Xenopus tropicalis: one gene and its partner. The protein of the gene in region 1 interacts with the protein of each later gene in a pairwise test. Links are inferred from orthologs where the notes say so. Each region holds a gene or a part of one and is shown in the gene's direction. Other genes may lie near its edges.

Region 1 (3,563 bases):
GTTGCCATGCCACTTGCTGCCACTCCTGTTGCATGCAGTTACCCTACTGATTTCAATTAGTCCTAAACTCTGGCTCTCTACCCTTCCTATACTAATTTCCTTAGTTATATTCACTGACCTCTGGAAATTAAGTTCATCTTTACATGAACATTTAGTATGATATTTAGTGGATAATATCTAGCAATTCTTTAGTTGGCCTTAATTTTTTATTTTGAATACTTTTTATATTATATGCCTTTTTTTTCCTGAGTCTTTCCAGCGTTCAAATGAGGGTCGCTGACCCTAGCAACCAAAAAACTATTGCTCCAGGAGGCTACAATTTCATTGTTGTTACTTTTTTTTTACTTCTATTTCTATTCAGGCCCTCTCCTATGTATAATCTCTGATTCAAACCACTGCCTAGTTGCTAGTGTAATTAGGACCCTATTGACCAGCTGATAAAATGCCAAACTGGAAAGTGGCTGAATAAAAAGCTAAATAATTCATAAACAACATTTAATAAAAAATTAAGACCATTTGAAATTTGTCTCAGAACATTACTTTCTATATTGTATTAAAAATTAATTTTTTATTTACAGGCAAGCTGACCAGTGCCAGCAAACACTCACTGTCTGCACATGGCAGCCCCAACTTGTCCCCCAGCAGCAGTGCCCAGACATCCCGCAGGGGTAGCATCAGTAGCCTCAGCAGTGTGAGCTCCGTGCTGGAGGAGAAGGACGATGACAAGATACGTTGCTGCCACCACTGCAAGGACACGTTGCTGAAACGCGAGCAGCAGCTGGATGAGAAAGAGCATACTCCTGAGATTGTAAAGTACTACCAGGTGCAGTATGGGAGCCAGTGGGTCAGATGGGAATTATACTCTAAATGCTAGTGCAGGCAGACTTGCTCTTGGTATATTACCTATCATAATATACTTTTGTATCATAATATACTGTTGTGTATCCATGGTGAGCAGAGCAAATGCCTCATTATTTGTGTTTAACTTTACAGAAACTTCGAAGCTGTATGGAGAAGGTTGATGAGAAAGCGCCCGAGTATATCAAAATGGCTCAGTCTATCAAGTGAGTATGAGAATATACTGTCAATATATCAATGAGATGGACTGTATTGACTGCTTTTCTCAGTTGGCCTATGTTATACTTTTGCAATGAAAGCCTGATTTTGGGAATCTTTAAATTGGTTGTAGCCTAATACAATGGAAATTAATTCTATCAAGCTTTCGGGTGTATATTAATGAGACAAATGTCAGTTTTTGGTCATTTGTAAATGTATTTGCTATTGAAAACTATATCTGTCTGGATGTTTGTATTCTTAGCATTTTGGGTTCTGACTTCTGAAGCCATGTAGTAGAAGCTAAGCGATTTACTGGAGGAGAATTGACTACGTAGTTTCAAGAGTCAGAACCAGAAAACATAAAGGAACACACAGATGCTGTTTTTACTGCAACTACATTTACAAATAGAATGACTACAATCATTTAATGTATATTGGAAACGTACTTATAAATTTCATTTTCTTTCAGTAGGCAGAAAAACTATTTTGGTTGGAGGACAAGTTGCCCAGTTAACCACCATTATTTAATATTTTGCTGCTTTTCATTGTGTGTTTTTTCATATTTTGCATGTCTCGTGTATGCCTTGAATTCAATAAACCTTTTTAAATCTACAATGTCTGACCTGCAGCCCTCTGTCTCTTGTTAAATGTCTATTTCCCATTTAGCTCTGGGGGAGATTTTTTGAACAATTGCACAATAAAATCTTGCTCTCGGCAGGTTCATTTATCTCTCCTAGTTGTCCTTGCATATTTGTATTGTATTTTACATTACTGCAACAGTGTTTCTGTACAGTAATGCAGGCACATTTTGCCCTGTCAGTATGTCTCCACTGGCTGTGGAGTCTCACAATATATACATTAGTGAGTGTAAGAGTTAAAGTGCAAGAGCGCTCACTTACTAGCACTCCCCCCCCCCCACCCTGGGGTTTTTAGCTCTCAATGCCCCACTTAGTGGGCAAAGTGCAAAAAAATAAATAAATAAATAAAATGGCTGATTGCAGCTTTTTTATTTTTTACACTTTGCACACTGTGTGGGGCATTGTATATGAGCTTTCTAGCGTGCCGTAACACTCAGTTGTGTATAGAGCAGGTATAAGATTATATAATAAAGCATTTAATCCCACAGTTCTTGTTTGCTGTAGGTGTAGATGTAATCAACAACTCTGTTATCCTGTGGGCGGGAGGTAATTTCATTCTTTTACTTATTTTTTTTTCAGCAGTGCGCAAAAGAACAGGCCATTCTGTATCTTAAACACCCACACTTGTCTTTCCTACGGATTCCTTAGGTCTGATCTGCTGCTTGTGCAGTAGTCAGGGGGGTAATTATCTTGCCGAAATAATATGCATCTTTGTTTGTGTTTTTATATCTGCAGTGCTGGGGAGACAACCTACAATTTGGACCATACCAATAACCTGCGGGTTGAGTTGCAAAAATACTACGAGTTAATAGATGCATTAAGGTGAGAGTCCTCATTTTGTGTTGTAAACAGCATGTGTTGTATATGTGATGTGGAAAAATGCAGGCAGAGAAAACTCCAATACTGTCCAGTGCCATCCTGTGTGTGTATCAAATGATATGCCTTAAGGTGGCCAAACACTGGAATGATGCATTCCTTTGGCAGCACTACATAGAGGAAAGGTAGGTGGTTAGCTTGTGTGTCATTGAGATGCCCTAGGTAGGGTGTGTTGGGATGGACTGGGGACAGGGATCCCTGTACTTTCTGCCCATGTGCATGGCACCTTACTCTGGATTTTCATTTTTGCAGGGTGTAAAGCACAGCCCAGTGGTGAGTGCTTATGCTCAGATAACTCTAATATAGCAATATTTGATAGGTGGAAGAAATCTGTACTATTCTTACTAAACATGTGTTTTTGCTTCAAAAGTATCCTGCTGGCCTCCACCATTTTAGAAAAAGCCCTTTGCTATATATTGCCCATATAATCATTTGTATTGTTTGCCAGCAAGAAGATTCTCACCCTTGGAATGAATGAAGAACCCAAGCCTCACCCTAAAACACAGCAGTTACAGAAGATGGTGAGATATTCGGCCACCTTGTTTGTTCAGGTAATGATTTGTTTATTTACTTCCTTGACATTTATTTGTTTAGAATCTCTGCATATGAGATGCTGGTGCAACACTGTTATTGAATTGTAGTTGGCAAATAGATTAGGGAATATAATGCTTATGGTAAGTTCAGTTCCACGATTCTCACTCAGTACCATGCACAGTCAAATTCCTGTTAATTGTAACCTCCATCAAGAGCAGTAATGAGACTCTCACTTTCTGTTTTACTGGTCTGACCAGTAAAGGCAGTGAGTCACTTGACATGAAGGACTCTTGACTCATCCTTTTTGTTAATTTCTCTTTCTGTTCAGGAAAAATTACTGGGCTTAATGTCTTTGCCAACTAAAGAAATATACGAGGAGCTTAAACAGAAGCGGAGGCAAGAGAATGAGCAGAAACTGCAGAGAGAGCGACAGGTAAGTAATCCTATAGTAATCTATCA
Region 2 (4,350 bases), about 99 Mb from region 1:
TATACATATGTCCTACAGCCTAGCCCTAGGTCTTTGCCTTTCTCCCCTAGCCCCAAATTTACTCTTTATTGTCTTATAACAGTGTCCCCTTGGTATATGTTCCTATATAACCTATAACTCATCAAATTCACTGTGGCTAAAACATCAGTTTGAAAGTCATAGCAACTTTACATCCATTGCTGGAAGCAGCAGATCATGACTACCAGCTAGAATTAGCATTACAGATAAAACAACAGATGTCTGAAACTGACTTCAAAGTTCTAGTCACCATACTCTCTAAAAACATTTTCCATATAGGAAACAGCATGAAAGAAGGACTTGATACCCCTGTACGATCTCTTTCTGGGCAATGTATGCCAGCACTATACAATGAGAGAGCTTAGGGACTCTGTATGTCTGCGATGCCAAGACTCTGACAAGCTTTACTTATGTCGGACTTTCCTGTTTACATAAGAATTTGAATAATTTCCCGCACTCTAACTATGGCGAACTCCACCTTCCTTTGTTTAGGGTATTTCAAAGACTTTGTTTTGCAAAAGGAGAAAAAAATGCAAAGTTTAAAGGATGTGAAAGAAAAACATAAAAGAGAAAATACAGTTATATTATATTTGGCTGAACTCAACAAATCAGGTAGGGGACCAGACTTTCTGCTTAAGGGAGGTTTACTGACACAAGGATGGCACAAAAACAGACCGAAATAGCAGAAATAATGCAGTAAAAAATAGTTTTATTTAAAGAAAAAAATCTCACAAGGACAAGCCTTACACATTCCATGCCGAGCTTGAAAGGCACTTAATCATTGGCTCAAGTTGCCCCTCAAGGCACGGAATGCGTAAGTCTTGTCCTTTTGAGGCGTTTTTTCTTTAAATAAAACTAACAGTGCTCTTCAAAAGCCTTTCCCAGTTAATAGTTCATAGGAAAGACTTCAGAAAGTTCTTCTGAGGCTTCTGACCTCCTTTCTGAGCAAAGCAACATCAGAACAGCTTAGTTTTCTTTTTTAACATATATTTCCCAGACTGTGTAGCTGAAAGAACTGACCAGCAGGTGGCGCTGTTGTTACATAAGGTATTATATTACCAGTTTATAAACTGGAACCAAAAACATTCTGTTAATAGTAAAGGTGCTTGTAATTTTACATCCGCACATTTATTACGCTGCCATTCATGCTAGTGGCAGACTTTACTTCACCACACAAAATGTATTTGTATATTTTTGTAACGCCGTTCTTTCTGTATTAAACAGAATACAGAGACTTTTATAGCTCAGCTGAACTCAGCAATTCATGAGAAATTCGCTTTTACTTGGGAGAAGACAATGACAGGCGCCATACCATGCCCTATAAACCCGTTACGGGCCAGAGAGACGGGACCAAAGTCCCGGATAGAGAATTGACCCGTGTGACTCCACCGGCGGGCACGGCTCCATCCTCTCATGCACGCCTCCCAGCAGCGGACGCGCGTCCCCGCCACGCCCAGTAGTGCGCGCCCCCGGTCCCAAGCTCAGTCTCTCGGCCAGCTGTGAGGAGCTCGTCCCGGCTCCGTTATCCCATCCCGTGTAGGTAGGAAACAAGGGTTGCCCCAGCAGTAGCCGCCATGTTCAGCTGGTCGAATAAGGATACTCGGAGGAAGAAAGAACCGGAGCTTTTCCAGACGGTGTCCGAGGGTCTCCGGAAGCTTTACACACACAAGTTGCTGCCTCTGGAGGAGACTTACCGCTTTCATGACTTCCACTCCCCTGCCCTGGAAGATGCCGACTTCCATAACAACCCCATGGTGCTGCTGGTGGGGCAGTACAGTACGGGCAAGACCACCTTCATCCGCCACCTCATAGAGCAGGACTTCCCCGGCATGAGGATCGGGCCCGAACCCACCACCGACTCATTCATCGCCGTCATGCACGGGCCCGTGGAGGGGGTCATGCCCGGGAACGCGCTTGTGGTTGACCCCAAGAAACCCTTCAGGAAGCTGAGCGCCTTCGGCAATGCCTTCCTTAATAGGTAACCCGTGTGTAGGCTTCAGCTTGGGGGGCACTGTAGGGTAAGCAGCCCACAGGTCGCAGCGATTGTCCCTTGGAAGCATGCGACAAAGCATTAGTGAGAGCCAGTCTTGCACCTCCCTGAGCTCAATGGGCACAGTCTGGCTCAATAACATTAGGCCAATGGGCACAGTCTGGCTCAATAACATTAGGCCAATGGGCACAGTCTGGCTCCCTAACATTAGGCCAATGGGCACAGTCTGGCTCAATAACATTAGGCCAATGGGCACAGTCTGGCTCAATAACATTAGGCCAATGGGCACAGTCTGGCTCAATAACATTAGGCCAATGGGCACAGTCTGGCTCAATAACATTAGGCCAATGGGCACAGTCTGGCTCAATAACATTAAGCCAATGGGCACAGTCTGGCTCAATAACATTAGGCCAATGGGCACAGTCTGGCTCAATAACATTATGCCAATGGGCACAGTCTGGCTCCCTAACATTAGGCCAATGGGCACAGTCTGGCTCAATAACATTATGCCAATGGGCACAGTCTGGCTCCCTAACATTAGGCCAATGGGCACAGTCTGGCTCCCTAACATTAGGCCAATGGGCACAGTCTGGCTCCCTAACATTAGGCCAATGGGCACAGTCTGGCTCCCTAACATTATGCCAATGGGCACAGTCTGGCTCCCTAACATTAGGCCAATGGGCACAGTCTGGCTCCCTAACATTAGGCCAATGGGCACAGTCTGGCTCCCTAACATTAGGCCAATGGGCACAGTCTGGCTCAATAACATTAGGCCAATGGGCACAATCTGGCTCCCTAACATTATGCCAATGGGCACAGTCTGGCTCCCTAACATTAGGCCAATGGGCACAGTCTGGCTCCCTAACATTAGGCCAATGGGCACAGTCTGGCTCAATAACATTAGGCCAATGGGCACAGTCTGGCTCAATAACATTAGGCCAATGGGCACAGTCTGGCTCACTAACATTAGGCCAATGGGCACAGTCTGGCTCCCTAACATTAGGCCAATGGGCACAGTCTGGCTCCCTAACATTAGGCCAATGGGCACAGTCTGGCTCCCTAACATTAGGCCAATGGGCACAGTCTGGCTCCCTAACATTAGGCCAATGGGCACAGTCTGGCTCCCTAACATTAGGCCAATGGGCACAGTCTGGCTCCCTAACATTAGGCCAATGGGCACAGTCTGGCTCCCTAACATTAGGCCAATGGGCACAGTCTGGCTCCCTAACATTAGGCCAATGGCACAGTCTGGCTCCCTAACATTAGGCCAATGGCACCTCTGCTGCCCTGTGGGGGGAAAAAGTGGCTGTCAAAACGCCCCTGTCCGCTCTGTATTACTCCGCTTGCATTGAGGTTTTCCCATTCACTGCTCAGCCAGGGCACTTACCATTATATATAACAGTGATCCCCAACTAGTGGCTTATGAGCAACATGTTGCTCCCCAACTCTTTTGATGTTGCTCCCAGTGTCCCCAAAGCAGGTGCTAACTTTTGAATTTCTGGTTAGGAGGCAAGCTTTGATTGCATAAAAACCCAGTGCAGTTGCCAAAGAGAGCCTTCTGTGGTCTCCCAGTCAACATAGGGGCTACCAAATAGCCAATTATAGTTCTTATTGGTACACCCAGAAACTTTTTCCATGCTTGTGTTGCTCTCCAAAACTTTTTCCATTTGAATGTGGCTCACCGGTATAAAAGGTTGGGGATCCCTGATATATAACATAATGAGCAGTGACAGGGGCGTGCCAGGGGCGTTTTGCTAGCTTCTAGTTTCTGCTGGATAACCTACTGGAAGGTAAAGTTCCCCTTAATAGCCACAATATATGGCTGCAGCATGTCATAGGTTTGTGTTGGTTCCATTGCTGTAGAACAGGGATCCCCAACCTTTTATACCCATGAGCCTCATTCAAATGGAAAAATTGTTGGAGAGCAACACAAGCTTGGAAAAAGTTCCTGGGGGTGCAAATAAGAGCTATAATTGGCTACTTAATAGCCCCTATGTGTACTGGCAAGCCTATTGGAGGCTCTGTTTGGCTTTACATTGAGTTTTATGCAACCAAAACTTGCCTCCAAGCCAGAAATTAAAAAATAAGCACCTCTTTTGAGGCCACTGGGAGCAACATGTTGCTCACAAACCACTGGTTGGGGATCACTGCTGTAGAACTACACCCAGGGGTGCTGGGAGATTGAAGTGTATCATGCAGGCAGCTCTGGGTGTGTAAACCCCCCTCCCCACCCTCAGCAGCTGAGTACTGTCCTGGGGGCTAAACTTCCCCAGCTGTTGTGCCGCTCTGGTCAGAGCTGGTCACTGTAATCTAAGAACAGCAAGAGGCTACAGGATGATCAT

Evidence for each region.
Region 2: the proteins of rbsn (region 1) and ehd1 interact in binary tests that used the Homo sapiens proteins (3 or more experiments, as listed by UniProt). The link is inferred for Xenopus tropicalis from reciprocal best matches to the Homo sapiens genes RBSN and EHD1.

The regions. Positions count from the first base shown.
Region 1 is NC_030680.2:132,265,129-132,268,691, forward strand, and holds part of rbsn (rabenosyn-5), read left to right. Parts: intron 1-578; coding exon 579-823; intron 824-993; coding exon 994-1,064; intron 1,065-2,429; coding exon 2,430-2,516; intron 2,517-3,018; coding exon 3,019-3,121; intron 3,122-3,432; coding exon 3,433-3,537; intron 3,538-3,563. UniProt on the Homo sapiens protein: Rab4/Rab5 effector protein acting in early endocytic membrane fusion and membrane trafficking of recycling endosomes. Required for endosome fusion either homotypically or with clathrin coated vesicles.
Region 2 is NC_030680.2:32,912,336-32,916,685, forward strand, and holds the start of ehd1 (EH domain-containing protein 1), read left to right. Parts: upstream 1-1,517; 5' UTR 1,518-1,592; coding exon 1,593-1,996; intron 1,997-4,350. UniProt on the Homo sapiens protein: ATP- and membrane-binding protein that controls membrane reorganization/tubulation upon ATP hydrolysis. In vitro causes vesiculation of endocytic membranes. Acts in early endocytic membrane fusion and membrane trafficking of recycling endosomes.